Linked DNA regions of Macaca fascicularis. The protein of the gene in region 5 purifies or fractionates together with the protein of the main gene of each other region. This does not show direct contact. Links are inferred from orthologs where the notes say so. Each region holds a gene or a part of one and is shown on either strand. Other genes may lie near its edges.

The links.
Region 1: the proteins of VAPB (region 5) and LSG1 purify together in Homo sapiens (affinity purification with mass spectrometry; 3 studies listed by BioGRID and IntAct, counting the BioPlex papers as one, with this or other methods). This does not show direct contact. The link is inferred for Macaca fascicularis from reciprocal best matches to the Homo sapiens genes VAPB and LSG1.
Region 2: the proteins of VAPB (region 5) and MIGA2 purify together in Homo sapiens (affinity purification with mass spectrometry; 3 studies listed by BioGRID and IntAct, counting the BioPlex papers as one, with this or other methods). This does not show direct contact. The link is inferred for Macaca fascicularis from reciprocal best matches to the Homo sapiens genes VAPB and MIGA2.
Region 3: the proteins of VAPB (region 5) and FAM83G purify together in Homo sapiens (affinity purification with mass spectrometry; 3 studies listed by BioGRID and IntAct, counting the BioPlex papers as one, with this or other methods). This does not show direct contact. The link is inferred for Macaca fascicularis from reciprocal best matches to the Homo sapiens genes VAPB and FAM83G.
Region 4: the proteins of VAPB (region 5) and OSBPL10 purify together in Homo sapiens (affinity purification with mass spectrometry; 4 studies listed by BioGRID and IntAct, counting the BioPlex papers as one, with this or other methods). This does not show direct contact. The link is inferred for Macaca fascicularis from reciprocal best matches to the Homo sapiens genes VAPB and OSBPL10.
Region 6: the proteins of VAPB (region 5) and TACC1 purify together in Homo sapiens (affinity purification with mass spectrometry; 3 studies listed by BioGRID and IntAct, counting the BioPlex papers as one, with this or other methods). This does not show direct contact. The link is inferred for Macaca fascicularis from reciprocal best matches to the Homo sapiens genes VAPB and TACC1.
Region 7: the proteins of VAPB (region 5) and RAB3GAP2 purify together in Homo sapiens (affinity purification with mass spectrometry; 4 studies listed by BioGRID and IntAct, counting the BioPlex papers as one, with this or other methods). This does not show direct contact. The link is inferred for Macaca fascicularis from reciprocal best matches to the Homo sapiens genes VAPB and RAB3GAP2.

What each region holds. Positions count from the first base shown.
Region 1 is NC_088376.1:3,984,132-3,987,631, reverse strand, and holds part of LSG1 (large subunit GTPase 1 homolog), read right to left. Parts: exon of another isoform or gene 3,277-3,500; intron 2,096-3,276; exon of another isoform or gene 1,981-2,095; coding exon 1,857-1,980; intron 1-1,856. UniProt on the Homo sapiens protein: Functions as a GTPase. May act by mediating the release of NMD3 from the 60S ribosomal subunit after export into the cytoplasm during the 60S ribosomal subunit maturation.
Region 2 is NC_088389.1:14,906,465-14,909,964, reverse strand, and holds part of MIGA2 (mitoguardin 2), read left to right. Parts: coding exon 1-116; intron 117-1,897; coding exon 1,898-2,108; intron 2,109-3,500. UniProt on the Homo sapiens protein: Regulator of mitochondrial fusion: acts by forming homo- and heterodimers at the mitochondrial outer membrane and facilitating the formation of PLD6/MitoPLD dimers. May act by regulating phospholipid metabolism via PLD6/MitoPLD.
Region 3 is NC_088390.1:18,837,443-18,841,484, reverse strand, and holds the start of FAM83G (protein FAM83G), read left to right. Parts: upstream 1-1,242; 5' UTR 1,243-1,303; intron 1,304-1,843; 5' UTR 1,844-1,971; coding exon 1,972-2,493; intron 2,494-4,042. UniProt on the Homo sapiens protein: Substrate for type I BMP receptor kinase involved in regulation of some target genes of the BMP signaling pathway. Also regulates the expression of several non-BMP target genes, suggesting a role in other signaling pathways.
Region 4 is NC_088376.1:16,732,947-16,736,169, reverse strand, and holds part of OSBPL10 (oxysterol-binding protein-related protein 10), read right to left. Parts: intron 2,926-3,223; coding exon 2,739-2,925; intron 786-2,738; coding exon 603-785; intron 1-602. UniProt on the Homo sapiens protein: Probable lipid transporter involved in lipid countertransport between the endoplasmic reticulum and the plasma membrane.
Region 5 is NC_088384.1:114,456,127-114,460,263, reverse strand, and holds the start of VAPB (vesicle-associated membrane protein-associated protein B/C), read right to left. Parts: upstream 2,801-4,137; 5' UTR 2,569-2,800; coding exon 2,511-2,568; intron 1-2,510. UniProt on the Homo sapiens protein: Endoplasmic reticulum (ER)-anchored protein that mediates the formation of contact sites between the ER and endosomes via interaction with FFAT motif-containing proteins such as STARD3 or WDR44.
Region 6 is NC_088382.1:42,248,439-42,251,938, reverse strand, and holds part of TACC1 (transforming acidic coiled-coil-containing protein 1), read right to left. Parts: intron 2,258-3,500; coding exon 2,137-2,257; intron 687-2,136; coding exon 618-686; 3' UTR 1-617. UniProt on the Homo sapiens protein: Involved in transcription regulation induced by nuclear receptors, including in T3 thyroid hormone and all-trans retinoic acid pathways. Might promote the nuclear localization of the receptors.
Region 7 is NC_088375.1:78,165,834-78,169,837, reverse strand, and holds the start of RAB3GAP2 (rab3 GTPase-activating protein non-catalytic subunit), read left to right. Parts: upstream 1-1,204; 5' UTR 1,205-1,321; coding exon 1,322-1,436; intron 1,437-3,920; exon of another isoform or gene 3,921-4,004. UniProt on the Homo sapiens protein: Regulatory subunit of the Rab3 GTPase-activating (Rab3GAP) complex composed of RAB3GAP1 and RAB3GAP2, which has GTPase-activating protein (GAP) activity towards various Rab3 subfamily members (RAB3A, RAB3B, RAB3C and RAB3D), RAB5A and RAB43, and guanine nucleotide exchange factor (GEF) activity towards RAB18.

The DNA.
Region 1 (3,500 bases), on a different chromosome or scaffold from region 5:
CATTTATTCATGGAGGCTACCTGTAGGAGAATGCTACACTGTCAATACTACTTGCAAAACAGAAAGCAACAGAAGAAGTTTTCTTATTGAATGATGTACCCACATTTTTTCCCCAGTAAGATCCCTTTAATACTAACTCAGTCAGAAGGCAGCAAAACACAGTGTTAAGAACATGGTTTCAGCAGACAGGCTGTGTTCCAAACTCAGCCCCCTCACATACTAGCTGTCGACTGGCTTTTCCAGTTTAGAAGAAAACAGTTACAATCCTAATTCACACAATATACAAAAATAAATGTAGGCAGATTAAAAATCTAAATGTTAAAAAAGTAAATATTTCAGGAAGATAGTTTTATCTTTTTGGGATGGAGAAGACCTTCCCAAGTAAAACACCAAACCCAGTCAAACCAAAAAGGAAAAATATAGTCTGTTAAAATTGTCAACTTCTTTGGGGGCCAAAGAAACCATAATTAATGTTGGAAAAAAATGTGTAGCACATATAACAAAGAACTTCTACAAATCATTAAGACAGAACCATGTATAGGAAAATGTGATTCTCAGAAGAAATATAGTCACAAAACATTTGGAAAGATGCTCAACTTCACTAGTATTTAAAGAAATACAAAGTAAAATGAGAGTAATCTGGCAATATCTTTGAACATTTACTGTTGAGATTTTCTTTTATATGGACTTGCAGATAGTGAACTTAGCAATTGTACGTGTGGTCATTTGTTTTTACAGACTGGCTTTTTCTTTACTCTGATTTTATCAGGCAGCATTAGATGAAACATCTTAAAAGACTCAGATTATTTTCAGTTTTATCAGAAGTACAATCAAACTGAAAGTTTGGTGGAAGTCCACCTTTCTGCATTTTCCAGGCTAACATCCTCGAGGGAGATCTCACCCAGGCTATTCCACTGACCAGCCACCTCACCTTGGGTCAGCTTGGGCTCTGGGTTCAGATTTTACTTCTTAAAAGCAGGGGCTAGGAGGTGAGGTAATCTTTCAGGTCTTTTCTTGTTCTATGACTCAGTCATTAGAATAGTCTTACACAAGTGTTTAGTATTTATCCTCTTTAGAGTCTCTAAGTTCAAGGTTTGATTTAAGTGTGATTCCTATCAAATCACCTTCCACCTTTCTCTGCCAGTAAATACTTGAATAAGCTGAACTCCTTCCCAGCCAGTGGCAATCCCTTTCAAGGCAAGCCACACACGCACAGAAATGCTTCTCATGCTGCTATTCTTTTTTTTTTTTTTTTTTTTTTTTTAGGTAGACACAAGGTTCTCCAGGCCACCTTTAAAGTTTACATTGAAGGCAAGAAATCATAGGTCCTCATGTGGAATTGGGAAAAAACACGGAGGTGGGAGAGCTGTGGTCTCATTTTCATGTCAAGTAAGTTTACAGGGACTGATGGGAGAGGAAGGAGGGTGCTTTGTGCCCCTGTCCTAACCAAGCTCCACTCTGTCCCCGTCTCTGAGGGGTCTCCCTTCTGGTGCTCCCGTCCCAACTCTCCTGCCTCGCTGTGGTGCACATATTCATTTTCTTCCACACATCCCCTTTCTTCTTGTTTGGGAGAAGACTCCAGAAACAGCCAACACAGCCTCCGATGAGAACCCCTGTGCCTGCACATGGGTACCATCAAAGCAGCAAATGTCCTGAAAGCTTTTTGCACTGTAGGTTACTTTGTAGGCAAGGCCCGCAGAGACATTAACCCTGGAAGATGACTTGAAAAATGCTAAAGAAATATGATAAATTTATATCTTTGCAGAATAACATTTCTAGTACTATTACTATTCTTATTTCTATTCATTAGCTATACTGTTATTTTTGTTCACGTTTTCTAATGAATCCCAACTTACATCCATAAGCTGTTAACAGCTCTTCTGATGTTGGAGGTCGGTGGGGATCTTCATCTTCTCTAGGCTTTATGATATTAATGCCATAGGTAGCTTCTAAAACATGTCTTGGAATATTCTGGCAAACGTAGCTTGTCAGGGAATCCACTCTCTTGAACTGCCTCTCTCCTCCCCAAGGCATACGGAACGTGCCTCTAAGAGCATGGCACTTCATCACTTGTACGACAAACACTCTTTCTCCTCTCCAAAGGAAGAGTATAGTTATCGATTAATTTTAAAAGACTCAGTTTTTTTTTCCTTTTAAACAAGGCCTTAAGCTCCCATGACTCTTCCATATGAATTCTTTTAAAATAATAATTTAAAATATCTCTGAAACTGACTTTAAAGATGACACATTTAGCCGGGCGCGGTGGCTCACGCCTGTAATCCCAGCACTTTGGGAGGCGGAGGCGGGCGGATCACGAGGTCAGGAGATCGAGACCATCCTGGCTAACACGGTGAAACCCCGTCACTACTAAAAATACAAAAAATTAGCCGGGCGCGGTGGTGGGCGCCTGTAGTCCCAGCTACTCGGGAGGCTGAGGCAGGAGAATGGCGTGAACCCGGGAGGCGGAGCTTGCAGTGAGCCGAGATCGCGCCACTGCACTCCAGCCTGGGCGACAGAGCGAGACTCCGTCTCAAAAAAAAAAATAAATAAAAAAAAAATAAAGATGACACATTTTTACCCTGAAAAGTAGATTATGCATTTGTGATTCTAATGTAGAGATAAAGCAAGGGGAGTCTGTTTCTAATGTCTACAATTATGCAGGATTACTTTTCCTCCTTTGTCTCATCTCTCATAGTTTGTCTGAATTTTCCTTAAGCCACTAACAATATTCTACTTGTACTACAGTTATTCACGTACATACCTCACGTGTCCCCAACAGATTGATGCTTCGTATAGGGCAGTAGCCATCTCTATTTATGCCCTATCCTCCATAGTACCTAACCTAAGGCTACCGGCAATAAATAATTCATGTCTCACTATTAATTTACTGAGAAACTTAAAAGGCCGGGCTCACGCCTGTAATCCCAGCACTTTGGGAGGTCAACGCAGGCAGATTATTTGAGGTCAAGAGTTTGAGAGCAGCCTAGTCACCATGGTGAAACCCCATCTCTGCTGAACAACAACAACAAAATTAACTGGGCATGGTGGTGCACACCTGTAATCCCAGCTACTCGGGAGGCTGAGGCAGGAGAATTGCTTGAACCCAGGAAGTGGAGGTTGCAGAGAGCCGAGATTGCACCACTACACTCTAGCCTGGGTGACAGAGTGAGACTCCATCTCAAAAATAAAAAAAGCTATATACTTTTTCATATATATGTATCTATGAATAAGCTGTGGCCTTAAGTGTAGTTATGAAGGAAATTTTACCCTACTTACAAGCCAGCGGATTAGTGTGCCAATTTCATGATGTCTCCTGTTTTCTGCTAGTATCTATAAAACAGTAACAGACTAACTTGTTAGCTTGTAAGTACAGTAAAATCTCAGACCTTGCGCAGTTTTTCCCTTTCGTTTTCTTTTTTCTTCAGGAGTCTCGCTTTGGCACCCAAGCTGGAGGGCAGTGGCACCATCTCAGCTCACTGCAACCTCTGCCTCCCAGGTTC
Region 2 (3,500 bases), on a different chromosome or scaffold from region 5:
CCTGGGGCATTGGCCCTGCCATGGCGTTCCGGAGGGCTGAGGGCACGTCCATGATCCAGGCCCTGGCCATGACGGTGGCTGAGATCCCCGTGTTCCTGTACACGACGTTTGGGCAGGTAAGGATCGGAGTGAGTTGTATTTCTTGTCTGTGAAACACTTCCATGCTCAGCCCAGGGCTCCTCCGTGTCCAGGAACACTGAGCCCTCGTTCTTGCTTTGCCAGACCTCTGGTGTCTCCTCTTTGTACTGGGTTTGTTGTCTGAGGCTTCAGGCCTGTTCTTTAGCCTAAGACTATATGAACTCTTTTTTTTTTTTAAATTAATTAAAAAAATTGTTTTGGCCAGGTGCGGTGGTTCATGCTTGTAATCCCAGCACTTTGGGAGGCCGAGACGGGCGGATCACCTGAGGTCAGGAGTTCGAGACCAGCTTGGCCAATGTGGTGAAACCCTGTCTCTACTAAAAATACAAAAATTAGCCAAGCGTGGTGGTGTGTGCCTGTAGTCCCAGCTACCTGGGAAGCTGAGACAGGAGAATTGCTTGAACCCAGGAGGTGGAAGTTGCCGTGAGCTGAGATCATGCCACTATACTCCAGCCTGGGCAACAGAGGAAGACACTGTCTCAAAAAAAAAAAATGGCCGGGCGCGGTGGCTTAAGCCTGTAATCCCAGCACTTTGGGAGGCCGAGACGGGCGGATCACAAGGTCAGGAGATCGAGACCATCCTGGCTAACACGGTGAAACCCCGTCTCTACTAAAAAATACAAAAAACTAGCCGGGCGAGGTGGCGGGCGCCTGTGGTCCCAGCTACTCCGGAGGCTGAGGCAGGAGAATGGCGTAAACCCGGGAGGCGGAGCTTGCAGTGAGATGAGATCCGGCCACTGCACTCCAGCCTGGGCGACAGAGCCAGACTCAGTCTCAAAAAAAAAAAAAAAAAAAAAATTTAGCTGGGCCTGGTGGCAGGTGCCTGTAATCCCAGCTACTTGGGAGGCTGCGGCGGGAGGATCACTTGAACCCAGGAGGCGGAGGTTGCAGTGAGCCGAGATCACACCACTGCAGTCCAACCTGGGCAACAGAGTAAGACTCCGTCTCAACAACAACAACAAAAGTTTTTTGTGGTAGAAATAGGGCCTTGCTATGTTGCCCAGGCTGGTCTTGAACTCTTGGGCTCAAGTCATCCACCCACCTTGGCCTCCTAAAGTGCTGGGATTGTAGGCATGAGCCACGGCACCTGGTCCTATATGAACTCTTGACCACAGTTACTCAGTCTGTAAAAGAGGTCAGTGCCCCCCACCGACAACTCACATGTTTGTGGCTGACTGGGCTCTTGACCAAAGATCTGCCCTGGGGGTTGCAGTCCCACCTGAGGGGCTCCCAGGCCCAGAGGGCAGAGGGTGACGTGCAGCAGTAGGAAGTGTTCAGATGGGGTGGCAGGTGAGTGAGTGTCATCGTCTTTGAGGCATCGCTGAGAAACAGGGGTCAGCGGATCTGGGTTTCATGTCTGCCTCTGTCGCCTTGAGCGTGTGTCTTCACCTGGGTGAGCCTCAGGTTCCTCGTCTGGAAATGACAGGGACTCAGATGGGTACCCCAGGCTAGGTCCTAGTGCAGTGCCAGGCACAGCTGGTGCTTGCTCACTGCAGCTCATTGTCATCATGACTGAGGGTGCTGGCCCTTAGACCTCACCTCCTCAGCACTGGCATCTTGCCATCTTTACGTTTTTGTGGTCCGTGTTTCAGGGAGGCTGGTCAAGTTCCCTGTGTAGGGCAGCTGCCTCTCAGTCTCTCGTCTGGTTGGCAGATGTGCCAGAGGGCCGGTGTATGTCCTGTCCCTGGGGTGCTCTGGGGCAGTCCTGCTGCCTTGGACCCAGGGAGGTGTAACCGGCAGCGTCTCCTCTTCCCTGCAGTCTGCATTTTCCCAGCTACGGTTGACGCCAGGCCTGCGGAAAGTCCTCTTTGCCACGGCCCTGGGGACTGTGGCCCTGGCCCTGGCTGCCCACCAGCTGAAGAGGCGACGGAGGAGGAAGAAGCAGGCTGGTCCCGAGATGGGAGGGGAGCAGCTGGGCACGGTGCCCCTCCCTATCCTCTTGGCCAGGAAGGTCCCTTCAGTGAAGAAAGGTAGGTGTGAGGTGGTGGGCATGGGCCTGTCCTGGGGTCACATCCTGGGGTCATATCCCAGCTGGGTCATTCTCTACCTGGGGATCTTGGGCCAGTGACTTCCTGTCTCAGAGCCAAGGTCTCATCCGTGAGCAGGATGACAGTAGCATCCCTTCCTCTAGTCACTGAACTGGAGGGTGATGCGGTTGGATGCGTGTGCTCTGTTGGTGGTGGTGGTTTTGGTTGTTCTCATTGGCTGAGGACCCTTTGGGAGCACCCAGGTCCGGAGTGGGTTGGGGGTGTGGCTTCTGGGTCCAGAGAGGGATGTTCCCCAGGCTGAGGTGCAGGAAGGGCCATGTTGTTCTTGAACCACGCGGTATTCCTCCCATCCCCTTCTCTCTTCAAAATTGAGGTTTAGGCCGGGCGCGGTGGCTCACGCCTGTAATCCCAGCCCTTTGGGAGGCCGAGGTGGGCGGGTCACGAGGTCAGGAGATCGAGACCATCCTGGCTAACACGGTGAAACCCCATCTCTACTAAAAATACAAAAAATTAGCCGGGCGTGGTGGCGGGCACCTGTAGTCCCAGCTACTTGGGAGGCTGAGGCAGGAGGATGGCGTGAACCTGGGAGGCGGAGCTTGCAGTGAGCTGAGATCATACCACTGTACTCCAGCCTGGGTAACAGAGCGAGACTCCGTCTCAAAAAAAAAAAAAAAAAAAAAAAAAAAATTGAGATTTAATTTGCATGTAGTAAGATTCATACTTTTTAGCATGCTATTCTTTGGACTTTGACACAGAGTCATCCAACCACCACCATAGTTAGGAATCATTCAGCTGGTTAGAAGGTAGTGAGTTCACTCAGTCGGTTGCTCACACTCACAGATCATACTCCTTCTATTCTCTTTTTTTTTTTTTTTGAGACGGAGTATTGCTCTGCCACCCAGGCTGGAGGGCAGTGGCACAATCTCGGTTCACTGCAGCCTCAGCCTCCCAGGTTCAAGCGATTCTCCTGCTTCAGCCTCTTGAGAAGCTGGGACTACAGGCATGTGCCACCATGCCTGGCTAATTATTGTATTTTTAGTAGAGATGGGATTTCGCCATGTTGGCCAGGCTGTTCTCGAACTCTTGAGCTCAAGTGATCCCTCTGCCTCAACCTCCCAAAGTGCTAGGATTACAGGTGTGAGCCACTGCGTCTGGCCGTCCTTCTACTCTTTTTTTTGAGACGGAGTCTCACACTGTCGCCCAGGCTGGAGTGCTGTGGCACAATCTTGGCTCACTGTAACCTCCGCATCCTGGGTTCAAGGGATTCTCCTGCCTCAGCCTCCTGAGTAGCTGGGATTACGGGTGCGTGCCACCATGCCTGGCTAATTTTTTGCATTTTTAGTAGAGATGGGGTTTCACTGTTTAGCCAGGATG
Region 3 (4,042 bases), on a different chromosome or scaffold from region 5:
TGAGGCGGCTCAGAGAGGGTCTTGCAGGGGATCCACAGTGGCAGAGGGGCTATAAATGGGTCTTTGGGACCCTCAAAGCAGGGCTCCCCTGCTGGGACCACCTCCCCTCTCTGGCCCTGGGGCAGGGGAGGGATGCAAATATGTGTGCCTGTCCCCCCAGGGCCACTATGTTCAGTAGCATAAAGCCCTTGGGGGGGCCTGTATGGCAGAGTGTAGGACTTCAGGCTTGAGGGGTCAGTGATGGGGACCACAAGGATGCTGGGCCTAGGAGGCCAGTCATTGTCCAGGGCAGTGGACTCAGAAGCAAGGAGTCCTGATGGGCCATGAATGGTGGAGAAGGCCTTGGAGGAGGAGGATTTGAGGGCGCAAGGCCTAGAGATGTCACCAGCCTACCGAAGCAGCATCCTTAAGGGCCCCAAACCAGCCCCATCCAGATCCAGAGCAAGTATGGGGGATGGGAGGAAGGGCTGGGCCTGGTGCCTGGCAGACTGGCTGCTGCACGCGATGGGGTGGGGGCCGTTTGTTGGGCCAGGTTTAATGGGCTTTGCTGTCCCACTCTCAAAGCCTGCCTTCAGATGTGGTCTCCACGCTCCCCATAACCAGGGTCCCAACCCCAGGGGACGCTCAGCAGAGAGCTGGGCCTGACCCCAGCCCACAGCTGCCCTCTTGGCCCCTCCCTGCCCTAGGGTTCAGGTCGGGTGCTGCCCGCCACGCAGAAGCAGTCCGGGGACCCCTCCCAGAGGGGATCAGGGCTCAGGACTGAGAACTAGGTACCTGCTCAGGAAAGGCCAGAGGTTGTATCAGTCAGTGCTCTATCCCTGCCTGGGGGCTCCCAGTCCACTACCCTAGACCTATTTCCACAACTGGACAGCTGGAAATCTACACAGCCGCACGGACTTCCCGCCACACCGGCGAAACTGGGCACAGCCAGGGTTGATCCAGGATCACCAACAGACCCTGGGGGCACAGGGGGTGCCAAGGCTGTTGACCCGCTGTGTGACCTCAGGAAGAACACTGTCCCTCTCTGGGCTGGGTGTTCCAGGAGCTCTTGGGCTTAGGCCTCTGAGCTTTTCGGAATTCGGGCACCAGGGGACAGTGGGCAGTGCGCCCACCCCAGGTCTGTCTGCCTGTGGAGGGGTGAATCAGCTTCCGGCCCCGCCCCGGGCGGCACGTGACTGCAGGTGGCGACGGTGGGGTGGGCGGGGCGGCCCTGAGTCACCAGTGCTCCCCCGCCCGGCCTCGCGCCGCCGCCGCCGCCGCCGCCGCCGCTGCGTGTGCGCCGCGCTCCGCCCGTGCCCACTCGGTAAGCAAGTCACAGCCGCGCCCCCGGGATCCCGGGTCTTGCGGGGCGCCGCCGCCCCACAACCGCACTTTTGGCTCTCCTGGACCCCTCCCAGAGCCCCGTCCTCTTCAGGGCAGGCCTCCAGGGTTGCCGGCACCTGGGAATTTTAAGACCTCTCCCTTACCCGGAAGCCCTCGGTTTGCGGGGCGCCGCTGTGCCGGGGCCGCCTCCCACTCTAAGAAGCTACTGGGAAGTTCCCCGGCTGCCCTAGTTTCCCTCAGAAGTTGCCAGGACTTCAGGCAAGTCCTGGGATGTGGGTTCCCTGTCCCCTGCACATAGAGGCACGCTGAGCCCTGGGACGTGGCCCACAGCTCTCTCCCTGCTGTTACGATCCCTTACTTTCTTCCCATCCTCGTCCAGTGCCCCCACCTCATCTTCCCAGTCCCAGCCCCAGCCCCGTCCTTCCCACGCCCACCTGAGTTCCCGGCCCCGCCCCCCGCCGCCCCTTCCCGCGCGGCCCGCCCTCCGCGCCGAGCCGGGCTCATCAGGTCTTTCCCGCAGGTTGCTCATGGGCAGAGGAGCAGAGGCTGCGGAGAGGCCCCCGAGCGCGCGGTGCCCCAGCCGGGCCGGAGCTAGGAGCCGGACCTTGCCCACCTACCCGCGGCAGCAGTGCCCGGGCAGGCGGCACCATGGCCTTCTCCCAGGTGCAGTGTCTGGACGACAACCATGTGAACTGGCGCTCCAGCGAGTCCAAGCCCGAGTTCTTCTACAGCGAGGAGCAGCGGCTGGCGCTGGAGGCCCTCGTGGCCCGCGGCCGGGACGCCTTCTACGAGGTGCTCAAGCGGGAGAACATCCGAGACTTCCTCTCGGAGCTGGAGCTCAAGCGCATCCTGGAGACCATCGAGGTGTACGACCCGGGCTCCGAGGACCCTCGGGGCACGGACCCCTCCCAGGGGCCCGAGGACCACCGGGTCGGCGACGGAGAGGAAGCCAGCGGGGCGGATGGGGTCCCCACCGAGGCTGAGCCGCTGCCCTCCCTGGAGTACTGGCCCCAGAAGTCGGACCGCTCCATCCCGCAGCTGGACCTGGGCTGGCCCGACACCATCGCCTACCGCGGCGTGACCCGGGCCAGCGTCTACATGCAGCCCCCCATAGACGGGCAGGCCCACATCAAAGAGGTGGTGCGGAAGATGATCAGCCAGGCACAGAAGGTGAGGCAGCGTGGGGACTCTGGGAGCCAAGGTCCAACCAGCGACCGGACCCCTCAATACAGGCTCACTCAGAGCCCCAAACGGGAGCCCAACATGGCCTTCTAGGGATTTCTGCTGTTTCCCTGGCTGCCTCCTAGGTGGAGGTTTCCTCCCCACCTTTGTGGGGATCCGCAGTTTCCTTGCAGGATAGGGTTCCCAGGTCCTAGCCGGTGACAGTGGGCTGCCCTGTCTCAAAGGGCCTCTGTATTGTTGCGGGGTGTTTCTGGTTCCCCAGAAGAAGGGACCAAGATAGGGTGGAGTGGGGAGGGGAGGAACCCCAGGGCTTCCTCTCACTTTCCCTTAGAGTGTCTCCGATTGGCTGCGAAGGCCCCCACACACCGTGAGCTCTCTGGTGGGGAGAGCTTTTGTTGCGGGGTGAGGGGATAGGCATGGTCCGAGTCCATCTGAGACTGGCCTGGAGGTCCTGGTTCAACACTGCCTGTTTCCTAGCTGTGCTGAGCAACTGGGAGCAGATTGCGCACCCTCTCTGAGTCTCTTTGTGAGCTTTGCAATGGTGGAAACTTTCCAGGCCAGGATGCACGGGTGAGGACAAAGCCTTCTTTGGCCCTCCCATTCTCCACCCCTTTTGGGCTATGCAGTGCCCTAGCTGTGGGGGCCATTCTTGGCTGACACACCATCACACATTCTCAGAAGGGGTGCTTGCCACTTGCAGAGATAGCTAGGCCACTGCTGGACAGCTGTGACCATGAGCAGGTGCTAATGCCTGCTGCACGTAAGTACCTTCTCATCATTGCCAAGCACATCTTGACTTGATAAATAAAGCTTACCTAGTGAGCTATGTTGAGAAGGGGATTCTGAAGTCAGATCTGGGCCTCAGGTTGTGGGATGAGGTCTTCCTTGCTGGGTCTAATCCCTTTATACTTCCAATCCCAGAGCAGAGCAGCCAATTGCACAAGACCAGAATGCTGGCTTCAGAGACCATCCTGGCTAACTGACAGGGCCTTGGGGAAGTTTGTAGGCAGAGAAACCAGAAGTGGGTCAAGAACTGATGAGGTGACCCCGGTGGCTCCTGGCCCTGGCTCCAGTTTCCAGGAAGGTGGAGTCCCTGCCCAACAAGGGGACCAGCTGGGTCAGCTAGCTGGGTCGGGGTGCCTGGTCCCCAGCCTGACTGCTCTCAATTCACTGACTGACCCTGGGCAACTTTGAGGCTTCGGGTTTTTGGTCTGTAAGATGGAGGTGGTGCAGATAAAAGCTGCATCTTTGGCTATTGTGAAGATGGAATATCGGGTGACAAAAGTAAGGAAGGAGTTAGAGGAAGAGGAGGAGGAGGGGGAGGAGGAAGGGACTTTCATAGTTTGCAGGCTGAGAGACCCGCCCCACACCTGCCATGGTGTGTGGGAAGTGCTGCTGACGTCTGTGACTGGTGGAGATGACTGGCTGGAGGCTAGAGAACCCAGTCTTCACAGAGAGCCTGCTGGGATCCCATTACCCAGCCTCCACTTCCATCTTGAAAACAGAGAAACCGAGGCCCTGGGTAGGGGGACTTGCT
Region 4 (3,223 bases), on a different chromosome or scaffold from region 5:
TTTCTTTAAACAAAGAACAAACCATTTTATGTTGTTTAAATTTTTTCTGAATTTAAGAGTTTGTCCTGAGAACAGATTCTTAGAAGTAGAACATGAGATTAAAGTGGATTAATGAATTGAAAGCTACTGATCCATGCAGCTAAACTGCACACACTCCTACTAGAAGGACAGGGTATAGAGTGTCAGTTTTACTACACCTTTCCCAGCATTTAATTTTTTTTTAAAACATTGTTAATCTGGCAAGAAAAAAATAGTATCTCATTGACTCACTGTGCAGTTCTTTGATTACTATCAACTCTCTGTATTTACCTTTGCAATTAAGCAACAGATCAGTTGACAAACTTTTGCAAGACAAGCAGTAAAAGTCTGCTGAAGTCTATCCTCACACCCACCCCATGACTACAGAATGACTTAACTGAAAGCTGAAAGGTTCTGCTCCTAAGTGACACACAGTAGAAAACTAAAATATCTAAAGAAGCCAGGAGAACATGATTCCTGGCCTGTTTCCAGTCGCTAAGCTTTCAAAGTCTTCTTTCTTCTCTGTCCCTTGAGTCAAGTGCCCAGCATGACTAAGCTGGAGAGGAAGACAGCCCAATTCTCACCTGGACTCCATAGGCCCCTGCTTCTCGAGAGGTCTGATCTTCTTGGGATACACTGGCAGTGTGGTTGTGTCGATGACTTTGGTTTCTCCATTGCTGTAGGTGAACTCTAAAGTACCATTCCATTCCCCATGGGCTTTACAAACAATGGTGTTGGTTGGGTTGTGCTTCACTTCTGCGGTAACCCTGAATTAATGAGTCAAATGAACACACTTTGCAAAATGATAAAAACAGAGACTTCAAAGGTACACCCATCTATAGAGATTTTTTTTTTTTTTTAATCAAGAATGGGAAGGAGGGATTGTTTTTGGAGCTTTGCTCAAAGACTAGCTCTTAAAAGATGATCTAATATCCTTGAACAGCAAAAGAAAGCATCACTGGAAAAAAAAAGTCTATAGACTAATTAATAGTAATACAGCAATGCTAATTTCTTAACTGTAATATTCTGTAAGATATCACTGGGATGAAAATCAGGCAATTCAAGAAAAACAAAATACGTGGGAAGGGGACGAGAGATAAAAGACTACAAATATGGTGCAGTATCTATAGCTTGGGTGATGGGTACACCAAAATCTCACAAATCACCACTAAAGAACTTACTCATGTAACCAAATACCATCTGTACCCCAATAACTTATGCAAAAAATTAATTTTTTAAAAAAAGGAAAACAAAATAGCATATACTCTCTCTTCTCCAAAATAGCATCTAATAATGCTACATTTTAACCCTAAAAAGACTGTAAGAGTGTAGGGTGAGCTTTTCAATCCTTAAATCATTAGGTCTATTTTGTATGGGGTCAAACATGGTTGCCCACAATCCCAACAGAGCTTACGTTGGAAAAGGAGGGAAATATCCACTCCAGCATCCACACATCCCCTGAATGAAGGCTGAGCAGAACCTAGAGTCTCAGTCTCAATCAATACCTTCCTACTCACAGTAGTGGCTCTGAGGAATGACTTCAACCTCTCCTTTAGAGGGCCTTTGTGGAGATTTGTGACCTCTCTTCCACCTGCCTTGCCTGTGGGAATTCCAAGTGAAAGCAGACTCCCAGCTCCCTCTCCACCACTGAGCTTTCTGCGCAGTTGAAGGAACACCGCAGAAACGGGGATACCTGCCCCAAAGCAGCCACGTGTAGGGTCTAAACTCCCCTTTTCCTTAAGGCCCAGCTCAGGCCGAATTTAGAGTTTCCAAACAGACTGGGAGGCTTTCTCCTTGAGCCTAAAAACAGTCAGCAAGGCCGAGGCTCACAGGCAGGTATGAGGCATCTTCTGGGTTGCACACAGTGGAAAGGTGTTAGTGGCATGCTGGGAAATATTTAGCAACTGGATCTCCAAAAGGGAAAACACCTGATTTGTACCATTTGCCAATTTCTGTGATGCCTATCATGGCTGATTTCAACACCAATATGATAGCACTGAACGTGAAATACACACAAATCAGTTCTCACGAGCTGGTGTGTGCTGGTTCCAGGTGCCCCCAAAGGGTGTCCACATGCCCCTGTGACACTCTGACACACTCACACTAATGCCATGCAGAATAATGCTTTCCAAGAAAATGGGCAAAGATGGAAGCTTGTTTGTATAGTATATCTTGCTTATGCAGTAGAGCTGTGCTGAAAGAGGAATTTTTTTATAGCTGCAGCAATGAAAACAATTGTGTGCTTCCTCAAACAGCAGACCTCTCCTTCAATGACTTAGACTTGGGCTTCCCAAGTTTTTCAAAAGAAAGAAAGGATCCTGACCTCATGGATGCGTGACACAGAATTGAGGACAGTGTGGCCAACTAATGTAAATGGGGAACTGTCTGGCTATGTCTGGGTTCAAAGATTCAATCACTTTACAGCAAAGCAACAAACTGTGGCTTCAGAAGGGAGAGTTTATTCCAACAGAAGTGCTGTTATTCTCTGGCATCTGCTCTGCAAATGCGTCACCAAAGATTTAACCTTAAGTTTAGAGTAGGGAGGACTCCAAAAAACTGCCATGTAAGGTAGGGAAAAGGCATCTCTTTTGGAACAGATCTTAACAATTTTATCCTGATTTTCAACTCATCCCATTACTGAAACTCAGTCTTCTAATAGTGAAAGGAAACTCAGGGCATCGTGTTAAGACAAAGCCAGAGCCTCTCCAGCCAGATCCTACCTGTGGACTTTCCCTCCATAGAAAGGCTTCGTGTGGAATATCACCGTCGCTGAGTACCCAGTCTTGGCACAGTTGATGCTGACTTTTCCTCCGAGCTCCACCCATGGGATGGTGAGAATGGACCGGGCGTAGGCACTAGGCAGGGTGAATACGTACTCCTCCCCGTGTTCCAGGAGCCTCAACACACCTCCAGGGAGAGAGGAGGGAGAGTTAGCCATGCAAAAACACCAAGAGGGCACGGGGGATCAGAAGAAATGAAGACGGGAAACCACAGAGCCTCTTGCACAGATGTCACATCTCCCACCTCTGCAGAGGTGAGCTGCTTGTTCGCCATGGGCTCTACTGTGTGAAAGGCACTGAGAATACAGCCGTGAATAAGATAGACCCACTTTCTGCCCTCAGAGAGCAGAACAGAAAGGTGGTCATTAGTCACCAGAGGAACACAAAATTATAACAGTGATAAAGGTGGGAGGGCAAGGTGGCCA
Region 5 (4,137 bases):
GTCTGACTCTTGTCTACTCACCAGCCTTGTCTGCCATCTTGCCGGGCAACCACAACAAATTTTCTTTGTTGCTGTCATTCACAACTACTAGTGGTGGCTGGGCACAGTGGCTCACGCCTGTAATCCCACCACTTTGAGAGGTCAAGGAGGGCAGATCACTTGCGGTCTGGAGTCTGACACCAAACTGGCCAACATGGTGAAACCCCGTCTCTACTGAAAATACATTTTTAGCCAGGCGTAGAGGCACACGCCTGTATATAATCCCAGCTACTCAAGAGGCTGAGGCAGGAGAATCGCTTGAACTTGGGAGGCGGGGGTTGCAGTGAGACAGCGCGTCTCTGCACTCTAGCCTGGGTGACAGAGTAAGACCTGCATCTCAAAAAAAAAAAAAAGAAAAAAGAAAAAAAAGAACTACTGGGCATCCCAAAGGAGCCCAGTCATCTCAGTGTTTGTGCCTCTGTGCATGCAATTTCCTCTGTCTGAAATGTTCTCACCCTTTCCTTCTTTGAGCCTTCTTCTACTCAACCTTTATAACTGAGCTCAAATGACACCTCCTTCAGGAGCTGACCTCCTCAATGCTCCTGGGGCACTCTGAACTACCCTACATCATTGTCCTGTCCTGGCTGTTGTTCTCATCTGTCCCCTTCCCTAAAGTACTGGGAGGAGGTTGAGGGAAAATGGGAGAGTACAGCTGATATGACTTGGCTTCTCCGGGTATCTGACACACAGATCAGGTACTCAGTAAATGTTTGTGGACTAACCGAATGAACCCACCAATTCTCAGGAGAAGCCAAGCCAGGCCTCCCAGACAGAAAAAGAACTTCAGACAACTCAAGTGGAAACCATGGCTCACCACTTTAGCCACCTGGCCTCCTTTTCCAATCTGGCGTTCCCAGAAAGCCATGAGCGCATCATGAAACCTCAAGTACTATCCTGGAATTTCGATCCCCGGTAGGTTTGGTGGGGTTTTTTTGTTTTTTTTCATTTTAATTGGAAAGCCTTTGGTTCTCTGTAAATTCAGAGTTATTTCACATTGTTAACTTGGAAGGCAAAGTGACAGCCACCGTTCTGGAGTATTTCCCAGCGATCAGACAGCATAACGGTTAACAGCGTGAACTCTGAAGTCTGGGTTCAAATGTACCACTTGCCAACTGGGTAACTTTGCATAAGTTACCCTACACTACTTCCCAATAAGACATATAAACTGGAGAACCTCTGGCCATTCATTAATACCAGCTGAACATCTACTGTGAGCCCGCTGCTAGCGATATAGTGGAGACCTGACCTTCCAATCTACAGTAAACTTCCATGGAGTCAAACTGTTCCATTTCCTACACAGCACTTAGCACTATCTGCAAAGATCACGTGTGCTGGTTTGCCTGTCCTCGTCGGAAGGTAAGCTCTATGAGAACAGAGGCCTTGTCTGTCTTGTTCATCCATCACCTCCCCAGGGCCTTCCACGTATCTGTAACGATGTTGTGTGCTGGTTTGTCTGTTCTCGTCGGAAGCTAAGCTCTCTGAGAGCAGAGGCCTTGTCTGTCTTGTTCATCCATCACCTCCCTAGTGCCTTCCACATCACTGGATACAAGCAAAAAGAAGGAATGAGCATGTCAGACCTTTTACCTCGTGGCCCTGGTGAAGGTAGGAAAAAAAAAAAAAAAAAAAAGAACAACATAGAAAACATAAAGGCACAAATTACAGAGATAATAGTGTCTGGGAGAAACCAGGGTCATGGTTTCCCACCACCGCAGGTGTTGCTCCAGGCAGCTCTGCGGAGCAAAAGGATCCCAGCACCTTGGCAGCCTCCCTCAGCTGCATCCAGGAGGCACCATGAGGGAGGCAGTGAACGGAAAATGGGACCAATCCCATCAGAAGGCCTGAGGAGGTTCATTTGTTGGTTCAACAGGTATTTCCTAGGCGTCTAATGTGTGCTGGGTACACAGCAGCAAACTGACAAGAGCCTGTCCTCATGCAGTTTCCTTTCTAGTGTTGAAACAGTGATTTTGAGTACGAAAAGTGCGGTGCTGACCACGAAACAGTGACAGAATGGGGACAGCAGGAGAGCAGGTGTGCACGGTGGGCTGGGTGGCCACAGCAGGCCTCTCTGGGCAGGTGATACCTCAACTAAACCCTGAGGTCAACACTGTCACAGAGCAGGGGAAGAACCTTCCAGGCAACAGCAGCGGCGGAGGTTCACACTAAAGTGATCACAAACTGGTCACTAAGTTACAAGGCAAAGTGACAAGTGCCTCGAAGGCAAGTCCCAGGAGGCTGGGGGTCGGGGAGGAGGCACAGGCCCTAGCTCCTGCACCAGTCCTCTAGGGTCCCGGCCGCTCCGCGCATTTCTGGGGCGCGCGCTGAGCGCCAAGGCCCGGCCCGGCCTCGCCGGCCCCCACGACAGCGCCGTCGGGGTGGGGACGAGGGCCGACGTCACCCGCCGCGCCGGACTCCGTCCCTCCAGCACTGGGGCGGGGGCCGCAAGCATGAAGGTGGCGGCCTCTGGGGCTTACCTCGGAACTTGAGCTCGTGCTGCGGCTCGAGGCTCAGGACCTGCTCCACCTTCGCCATGTTCCTCAGCGGCGGAGCACCTTTGGCGGGGAGACCCCTGAGAGGTCACCGGGGCGGGAAGCGTTAATGCCGCGCCCGCTTTAAGTTTTACAAAAAAGGGGGGACCAGTCGGGGCACGGGTGAGGGTCTTCGACGGGGTGCGCGCGCTGGGGGGGGTCGTTCTACGCGGTGCAGGCTCAGGGGCGGAGGGCGAGGGCGAGGCCGCGGTGCCCGGCGAGCTGACGGCACGCACGCACGCACGCACGCACGCACGCACGCACAGGCGTACACACGCACGCACGCAGCAGGCTGGCCCGCTCGGGCGGCGGGAAGCTGCGCCCTGCGCCGCCAGCTCCAGGGGCGGGGACTAAAGCTGCGCGCGTGGAGCCCCACCCGGGACAGTGCGCAGGCGCGGTACAAGCCACGGGGGCGGAACTGCAGGGCAGCAAGGGGCGGGGCTTCGCGCTGCTCAGGAGGCGGGGTTTGTAGTCCGGCTACGACTGCAGCCGCGAAAACTATTAAGGGTCCGCTGGGGGCCAGCCTCGTGTTAAATGCTTTATTCAGTAACAACAATTAGAATAAACTTCCACTTTTCTCTTGCTTATGTAGTGCCAGGCACTGTTAGAGACTTTGAATAATAGTCAAAGTACTTAGTATAAACATGATGTTTATGGGTGAGTGATATGGGCTAAGCACTGTGACGTCTTGTAAATAATAATTATAAATATAATAAACTACCAATTATTGCTTATTTCGTATCACTCTGCTGAATGCTTCCAATGACAACAGCAGCTACAATAAATACAAGCTACTCTACGTTAAATGTTTATTAGGCAACTGGCACTGTGCTGAATTTTTACTAGTAAATTCGATTTGTTTATGCAATAAATATTTAGAAATACAATGATCAGAAAAGCTAACCTGATTCCAATCCTTTTACTGTAGCCTAGTGAAGAGACATTTTGAATAAATAACCACACAAGTAAGTTAAATAATTAAAAATTGCTGGAGAATCCAGATCTGCTTGACCTCAAAAATGGATACTCTACATCATGATTACCGTTTAAATTGTATTTCATTATATCATGTTCACTGTGAAAGTAAAATAGGTGTTCTTAATAGTCTCCTATACATACCAATATAGGTGAAACAAACATGGCAAATTGCTAACAATGGCTGACTTGACATCGCAGGTACATGGTTTTCTTGTACTGTTTCTCCCACTTTTCTGTATACTTGAAATTTTTCATGATAAACAGGTTTCTTGGAAGAATAATCTTTGTATTTTAACTGTAGCATTTAGTCCATTTACATTTATTATATTTACTAATATATCTGGAATTATTTCTACCATCGTATTTTGTTATTTCTACTTGTCCTGCCTGTTTTGTTTTTCTTTTTTTTTTCCCCTTTCTTCTTTGGGGTTTATTTTTATTCTCATTCTTGTTTTCTTCACCTACATACTCTATTTCTAAGTTTTAGTGGTTACTTGAAAATTTTGGGCATGCATGCTTACCTTGTGAAAGTCCAGTATGTTTAAATATTTGTAAAAATGTCTTTACCCTGTTTCCTTAAAATATGAAGACTTCG
Region 6 (3,500 bases), on a different chromosome or scaffold from region 5:
CTCACATCGAAGGAAATATGTCCTTCTGCAGACAAGTTCTTACTTGACTATGCTTCAGGGAAAAGAGTAGCAGCATCTATAAATATACATGTATGTGTGTGAGAGTGTGTTTAATAAAAGGGGACCCAGAGCCCCTTCTTGATTATAAACTGGAAGTAACAATAGGCCAAATTGTCTCCTTAAATAAAACCACTGATATTAAAAAATTAAAAGATTAAATAGATCACACAAAAAAAAATCAGACAGGTGGTGTAGAAGACCCCAAAGAGGAGCTACAAATTTTAACACATTTGGGAAAGTAAAGATGACTTTAAAACAAACTAAACATAAAGAAATCACAAACCCAAACTCAGCAGCCTAATGGAACCTTCATATGGGGAACTGGAAGGCTCCGGCACTGTCAGGTCACACTCCTTTCTAGACTACGCAACCCTCTAGGGTTTCTTCCAGGGCTGTTGCATTGGCAGCAAAGCGGGACAGGCAGCAGTAGACATGTGCTTTTTTTAAGTTTTTTTTTTTTTCTCTGCAAAGGGGCGATTATTCCTGGATAAGGCAAGATAATTGTGGTCACAAGAGAAGCAGCCAAATGCAGATCTGTTGAGCTAACAGGGGGAGTCTCAGTCAGCCTTTCCCAGCTTTGCAATCAGCTCATCACAGATTTTTGTCAGTTCTTCAATTTCTTGGTTCTGAAAGACAAAAGACACAATTACGCAGGCCACTTTGTATTCTGAAATAAAGGCAAATAGAGTTAACTAGTCCCAAGTCTGGATATACCCTACCCTAGACATCCCAATTCAGTGATTTTTTTTTTTTTTTTTTTTTTTGAGACAGAGTCTCGCTCTGTCGCCCAGGCTGGAGTGCTGTGGCCGGATCTCAGCTCACTGCAAGCTCCGCCTCCCGGGTTCCCGCCATTCTCCTGCCTCAGCCTCCCAAGTAGCTGGGACTACAGGCGCCCGCCACCTCGCCCGGCTAGTTTTTTTGTATTTTTTAGTAGAGACGGGGTTTCACCGTGTTAGCCAGGATGGTCTCGATCTCCTGACCTCCTGATCCGCCCGTCTCGGCCTCCCAAAGTGCTGGGATTACAGGCTTGAGCCACCGCGCCCGGCCCCAATTCAGTGATTTTTAACTTTTCTACATCAGAGATGCTTTAAAGAAAAAAAGGCTACACATCTCAAAAACAATGTACTCATAAAATCATGCTTAAATTGAGTAAAGGGTGAAGACAGTCACCAACCCTCTGAAACTCGTCCATGAATCTCTTAGTTCCTCAATTCTCTTGTTATCAGAGGAATTATCTGGGGTACTTGTCAAAAACATAAGTATCTGGGTCTCACTCAATCCATTAGCATCTCCAGGGATGCTGGAGTCTGAATCTCCTACAGAGCACCATTCTAGGGGTTATCAGACCCTGTGATAAAAACTCCTGCTCTTGATGAATGGATGGCACAGGTATGAGTACATAATTGGAAACGCAGTAAGGAAAATACACCGGAGACATATAAAAATGGAAAGCTAAAAATTGCTTAGTGAGAAACAGGGATTGTTGCTAGTCCTGGTTTTCACTGATCTATAGCAGTTTCTCAAAGCAGCACTGCTGATGTTTTAGGATGGATAAGTGTGTTGTCAGGGGCTGTCCTGTGCATTGCAGGATGTTTAACAGCATCCCTGGCCTCCTGCACTTTATACCAATAGCATCTCCCAGTGGTGACAACCAAACAAATATATCTCCACACATTACCTAACACCTAACACCCCCTGGAGGGCAAAACTGCCCCCAACTGCAAACCACTGATCTAAAGCAATGAAGGGAGAGATGGCTTCATATTAATATATTGCATAAAAACAAAAAGAAAGAAAGAAAGGCAGTCTCAAGACCCCAACTAGGAAGGTGTTCTGAACTTCAGTTAAAATGCAACTTCCTCTCTGCACCCTGCCTACGGATGATTTCCGCATGATGTGCTTGTAAATTTAATGGTTTGACTTGTTTCCACCTGGATCAGTTCAGAAAGGAGATGGACTGAAGTGTCTGAGCAGAAAGCCAAGGCCTCTTTCACCCAGATCTGTCATAAGCGAGTCACTGCTGAGGAGGAAAACCAAACGTCTCTGTGGCCACCCAGATCAGGCCCCTTTCTGTACCTTCTGCTGTAGGGCCCTTTCCAGGGACTCCACCTTCATCTGCTCTTTCCGGAGTCCAGCATGGAGAGCTGCACTCTCAGCCTTTGCCTTTGTTCGAACCTGCGCAATCTCCTCATTGGCTCTGTTTATGGTGTTTGGGTGGAATAAAGAGACAAAAAGCACATGATTAGCCACTAGTCAAAGCCAGGATACTAACCACTGACATCTGGGAGGCACAGCCCCCAAAGAATTGACTGCATGATAAAAGAAAACACAAAAATCGGTGACCTAAATAATCCCATTTTAATTTATAAAAATTCAATTTACAACTTCAAAATTTGTATCTCACAGCAAATGGTTTCTACAACAGTCTTAGATTTTTTTTTTTTTATAGCCCAGTACAAAAGCGGACTGGATAATTTCGGAGACAATCACAGCTAGAGTCGGGATACTAACCACTGACATCTGTGAGACACAGGCCTACAGGGAATGAGTTTATTAATGAGAAGTGAAAGACATTCTTAAAAACCATAAATGTCAGTTGATGAACAGCCAGTAAACTGATGAAAGGATGCTAAAGCCTCATTAGTGATCAGAGGCATGTAAATTAAAATGATAAGCTTTGAAAATTGATTGAATTGGCAAAAATTAACAAGGATAGTCCTGTGTGGGCCAAGATACAAGGAGACAGGCAGGCTCATGTGCCAATGGGCGGTTGGAAACTGGCGCTGCCCTGTGGCAGGCAATGCAGTAGTCACCAGGACAACTTAAAGCGTACACGCCCTCCGACGCAGCAATCCCACTTTCAGTTATGTATTCACAGAAATACTTCCACCTGGCACAATGATGAGTGCACAGGATGTTCGCTGTAGTGTTACCTTCAATGGAAGAAAGTTTGTAACTAAGTGCCCATCAATAAAGAAACGCTAGAGTTCCACGACCTAATAAAAAGAATGAGATTCAGCTGTATGTTCTGACATGAAAAAATGGCCATGATATGCTATTGAGGGAAAAAGGAAATTTGTCTAATGTGATTCCAATATTGTAAATATTTTTTATAGTTCAAAATCATAGTATTTATACAGACACAAAGAAAAGACTAGAGGGATATACAATAAACCTATGTATAATACATAGAGGGATCTGTATAACCTATGGAGAAGAATACACAAGAAACCTAATACAGTACTATGGGAGTGGGAAGGGGGCAGGGGAACTTCTGTTTCTACAAATAGAAATTTAGGCATCAAAATGTAGAAGTATGTATTACCTTTTAGTTAAAAAGTCAAGTTGGAGGCCAGGTGCAGTGGTTCATGCCTGTAACCCCAGCACTTGGGGAGACCAAGGCAGGTGGATCACTTGAGGTCAGAAGTTCGAGACCAGCC
Region 7 (4,004 bases), on a different chromosome or scaffold from region 5:
GATCTTTGTGTTCACATTAAAATATATTTTTTTGTTTTTACTTTTTGGAAAAATAACTTAAAGTCTGCTCAGAGACGACTCAATTTCTTCATTTAAAAAATGAGATAAGACACACTATTTTTAGATGGTATTTGTGACTTTCCAAATGGACAATGTAAAGTACTTTCAAAAACAGTGCTTTGTAAAAGAAACAGTTTATTCTATTTACTTTATGTACACATTCCATTTATTTCTTCAGCAAATATTTATGAAGCACTTACTAGCATGATCACAATTTCAGTAAATAGTTGAGTACAGTAGTCCCCCCTTTTATCCATGGGTTCATTTTCCACATTATTCATTTTAAGTATTAGTTATTGTTAATATTTCACTGTGCCTAATTTATAAATTGAACTTTATCATATGTATGTACAGGTAAAAATAAAACACGCATACACAGGTTTCAGTACTATCCATGGTTTCAGTCATCCACTGGGGGTCTTAGAACATATCCCCTTGGATTAAAGTGAACTACTGTAATTAATTTCTTACTGCCTGTATCAGTCACTAGAATTCTAACTTTCTGGGAAAAGGTATTTCTTCTCTTTTGTTCTCTAATGCTCAGCACCCTGCGTGGCTGGCATTTAAAAGGCTAACAAATATTTGTCGAATGGATGGATGAATGCATGAATGAAAAACCAAATGAATAATGAAAACATAAGAGTATAATACACTTTAACACGTACTATATTGGGCTTGCATAGTACTATGGAAATTTATAGCAGGAGCATTTAAAGCCAGCCTTGACGGGGCTAATCTCCGGAAGAGCAATTAATCTTTTCAAAATCCGACTCTTGCAGGATACAGTCCCCCACTGGCCTGCCACTAGTTTAAAACGAATTATTTTCTGTGAAACATCAAGATCGTGCCAATATTAGGGCATCAATAAGATTGGTTGAATGAGTCAAAGGCCTGCGCGGACAAGTCCAATTAGAACACCTCTGGCTAAAAGCCAGAATGAATGAAAGGGTTCATTCCTTGGTGTAGACGCAGAACTGGGACTGAAAATCTGCCCCAAGCCTCCACGTAGACTTTGGCTCCACCTGCAGCAGCAGCAGCGCCCTAGTCACGTGACCCGGGCCAGCCCTCCCTAGGCGCCTGGGCCAGCCTGCGCCTGCGCAGTACTCGGAGACAGCGGACCCGTGTCAGTGACAGCTTCCGGTTTGGTTTCTCCGCCTTCTGCTTGGCTAGAGCTATTGGGGCTCGGCGGCGGCCGCAGTGGGGTGGAGGGGGCAGGGCGTGGTGAGGTAAGGTGAGTGCCGTAGTGGGGTTCCCCGGAGCCATGGCCTGCTCCATTGTCCAGTTCTGCTACTTCCAGGACCTCCAGGCCGCCCGGGACTTCCTCTTTCCTCACCTGCGGGAGGAGATCCCCAGCGGCGCCTTGCGGAGGGACCCCAGTAAGTGCCTCTCACCTCTCCGTTCCTTCCCCCGTCACCCGCGGCCTCTGCTTGGAGGGTTCGGGTCTCCTACTCGCTCTGCGCCTCCTGCCTCTGCCCTCTGGACCCCCAGTTCTTCCCGTGCCTCCCCTCTGTTCCGGGATGAACCCCTGCCCACCTCGTCCTGAAGCCCCATTTGTGTTGTCTTCCTCTCGACCCAGCTATTCTCCTCAGCCCCTCTGATCCCTGGCCCAAAACTGCGTCTCGTTTCCTCTCGCCTCTGCCTATCACCACTTCCTCCCTCCCCCCTCCCCCCACATTCCTAGCTTTCTCTCTAAGTATCTTCTCCGTCTCCCATCTTCAGCCTGGGGTCGTCCCTTGTTTCATGTTGCCTGCTCCGTGATCGCATCCTCCCCGTTCCTTGCCACATGTCAGCGCTCCACTCTGGTATTGCCCCAGCGCCCACTCTTCCATCCCGGGGACTGTGGCCTTCTGCCACCTCCCGTTCCGAAAGTGTTGATCATCCCCCCACACTCTCCCTTCTTTCATCCGCGTTTCCCCCATTCAGATTTTGAGAACAAATGGCTGACTGACAAATGAGTGACTCTTAAGGTGGTAAGAGTCTCTCAAAGAAGGAAAATAACCTGTCGGGAAGTGAACGAGAATCTACATTAGGAACTAAAATTACAGTGACATAGCCAAGAAAGGTTAATTTGCTTTATTGGGATGAGAAGCCTTCCACCTATTTTTATCATCAAAGTGTTAAATAAGCCTTTCCCCACGTAGTATAAAGTTCCAAGGCTGGTTTCTTAGATACTACATAGGCTCTCAGAATTTCCTACATTTCATCTTTTGAAAGGGTGTGCCTTGTGTTTTATTTTATTTTATTTTTGCATTTCCAACATGAAGCACGTTTGGCTTTGTAGTACAGTGTTCTCACTCTGTGCTATGCCGGAACGGTGATATAAGGCCCACTAAGCTCTTCCCCCTTTAAAAAAAAATTTAGAAGATATCAAATCAAACCCATCTGTGAATGATTACATACTCTGTGCCAGTCATTGGTGCTACAAACCAAATAAGGTTGGTGGACCCTGCCTCTAGGAACTTATGGTTTACAGACAAATCACTAACTTCCATTCAATGTGATTGAGATAGATGTGAGGCATTTTCTTCAAGTGGTGATACTTAAGCCTACCTTTGAAGTACTAGTTAGAGGAGTAAAGGAGCGGTAATAGCATGTGCAGAGGAAGGACTGAAATGGCATGGTATTTAGAGAACTAAGAAAAGCTGAGTGGCTAGAGACGAGGATGGGAGAGGAAGAATTGGGGCAATGAGGCAGTAATAGTGATAAGGAGCTAGACCATGAGAAGCCCTGTGAAAGTTGTGGCGTTTCTCTGAAAGTTTAAGTAGAGAAATGACATTGTCAGATTTGTACTTAATGTAATCAACAACGTTTGTTGAAGACCCGTAATGTGCTCTGGTAGCAAAGTGGAGGAGAGATTGGAAGAAGGGAAATGGATTGGGAAGCTCTTCCAGTAATCCAAGCAAGAAATGATATGAGCTTGAATTAAGAACCTTAGCAGGATGAAGATGAAGGACTAGATTAGAAAGACATAAAGGAGTTAGAATCTGCAGGACCTTCTGAAGGTCTGGTGATGGGCATTGTAACTAGTAAATGAGGGGGAGTTTAGGAAGTCTTTGGCTTGTGGTTTGGACAAGTGTATATAATAAGAGAATAAAGGATACAGATTTTCAACCTTTTGCATTTTAAATGTTTACAGTATGTCCAAGTAAGGACATCTGGTTGAACACCAGATATAGATAGTCTAAACAGTAGGGAGTACTGGGCCAGAGACGTTAATTGGGGAGCTAACAGCAAAAACTGTAAATTCAGTCTCAAAGATTATGTATGTTGTGAAATGCACTGAGTACTAAAGCTGTAAACTTAGAGGAGCACTGGTGTTTAAAAGTCAAGTAGAGGTTACTGGGAAGAAGACTGCGAAGGAGTAAAAGAAAGAGGAAAATCAGGTGAGAGTAAGGCCCTTGGAGCTGAGGAAGGTGAGAACTTGATGAAGGTGAGGAATAGTCAGCAGTTTTGCAAATGCAGCAGAGGTCAGGTAAGAAAAGGATAGAAAAGTGCTCATTGGTTTTGGGAAGGTGGAAGTAACTGGGCCTTAGGACAGTTTCAGTAGGATAGTGGAGGCAGAAAGCATATTTATAGGATAAGGGGTTAAAAAGTGAAGTATACTATTTCAAGGAGCTTGGCTGTGAAGGATAGCAGATGCAGGATTGTAGATAGGGAATGTAGAAAAAAGGAACAAATTTTCTTTATCCCTCTACCACTCTCCTGGTCCAGGCCATGATCTTTTCTCAACCTGGGCTATGATATGATATGTCTTCTTCTAGCAGATCTTCCTGCTTTCACTCTTGGTTTCCCATAATAATTCTCAACAGTAGGTAGAGTGAGCTTTTAAGACATAATTTAGATCAAAACATTGCCTTTTTTCTTTTTCTTTTTTTTTTTTGATATGAGGTCTCACTCTGTTGCCCAAGCTGGAGTGCGGTGGCATGATCTTGGCTCACTGCAAC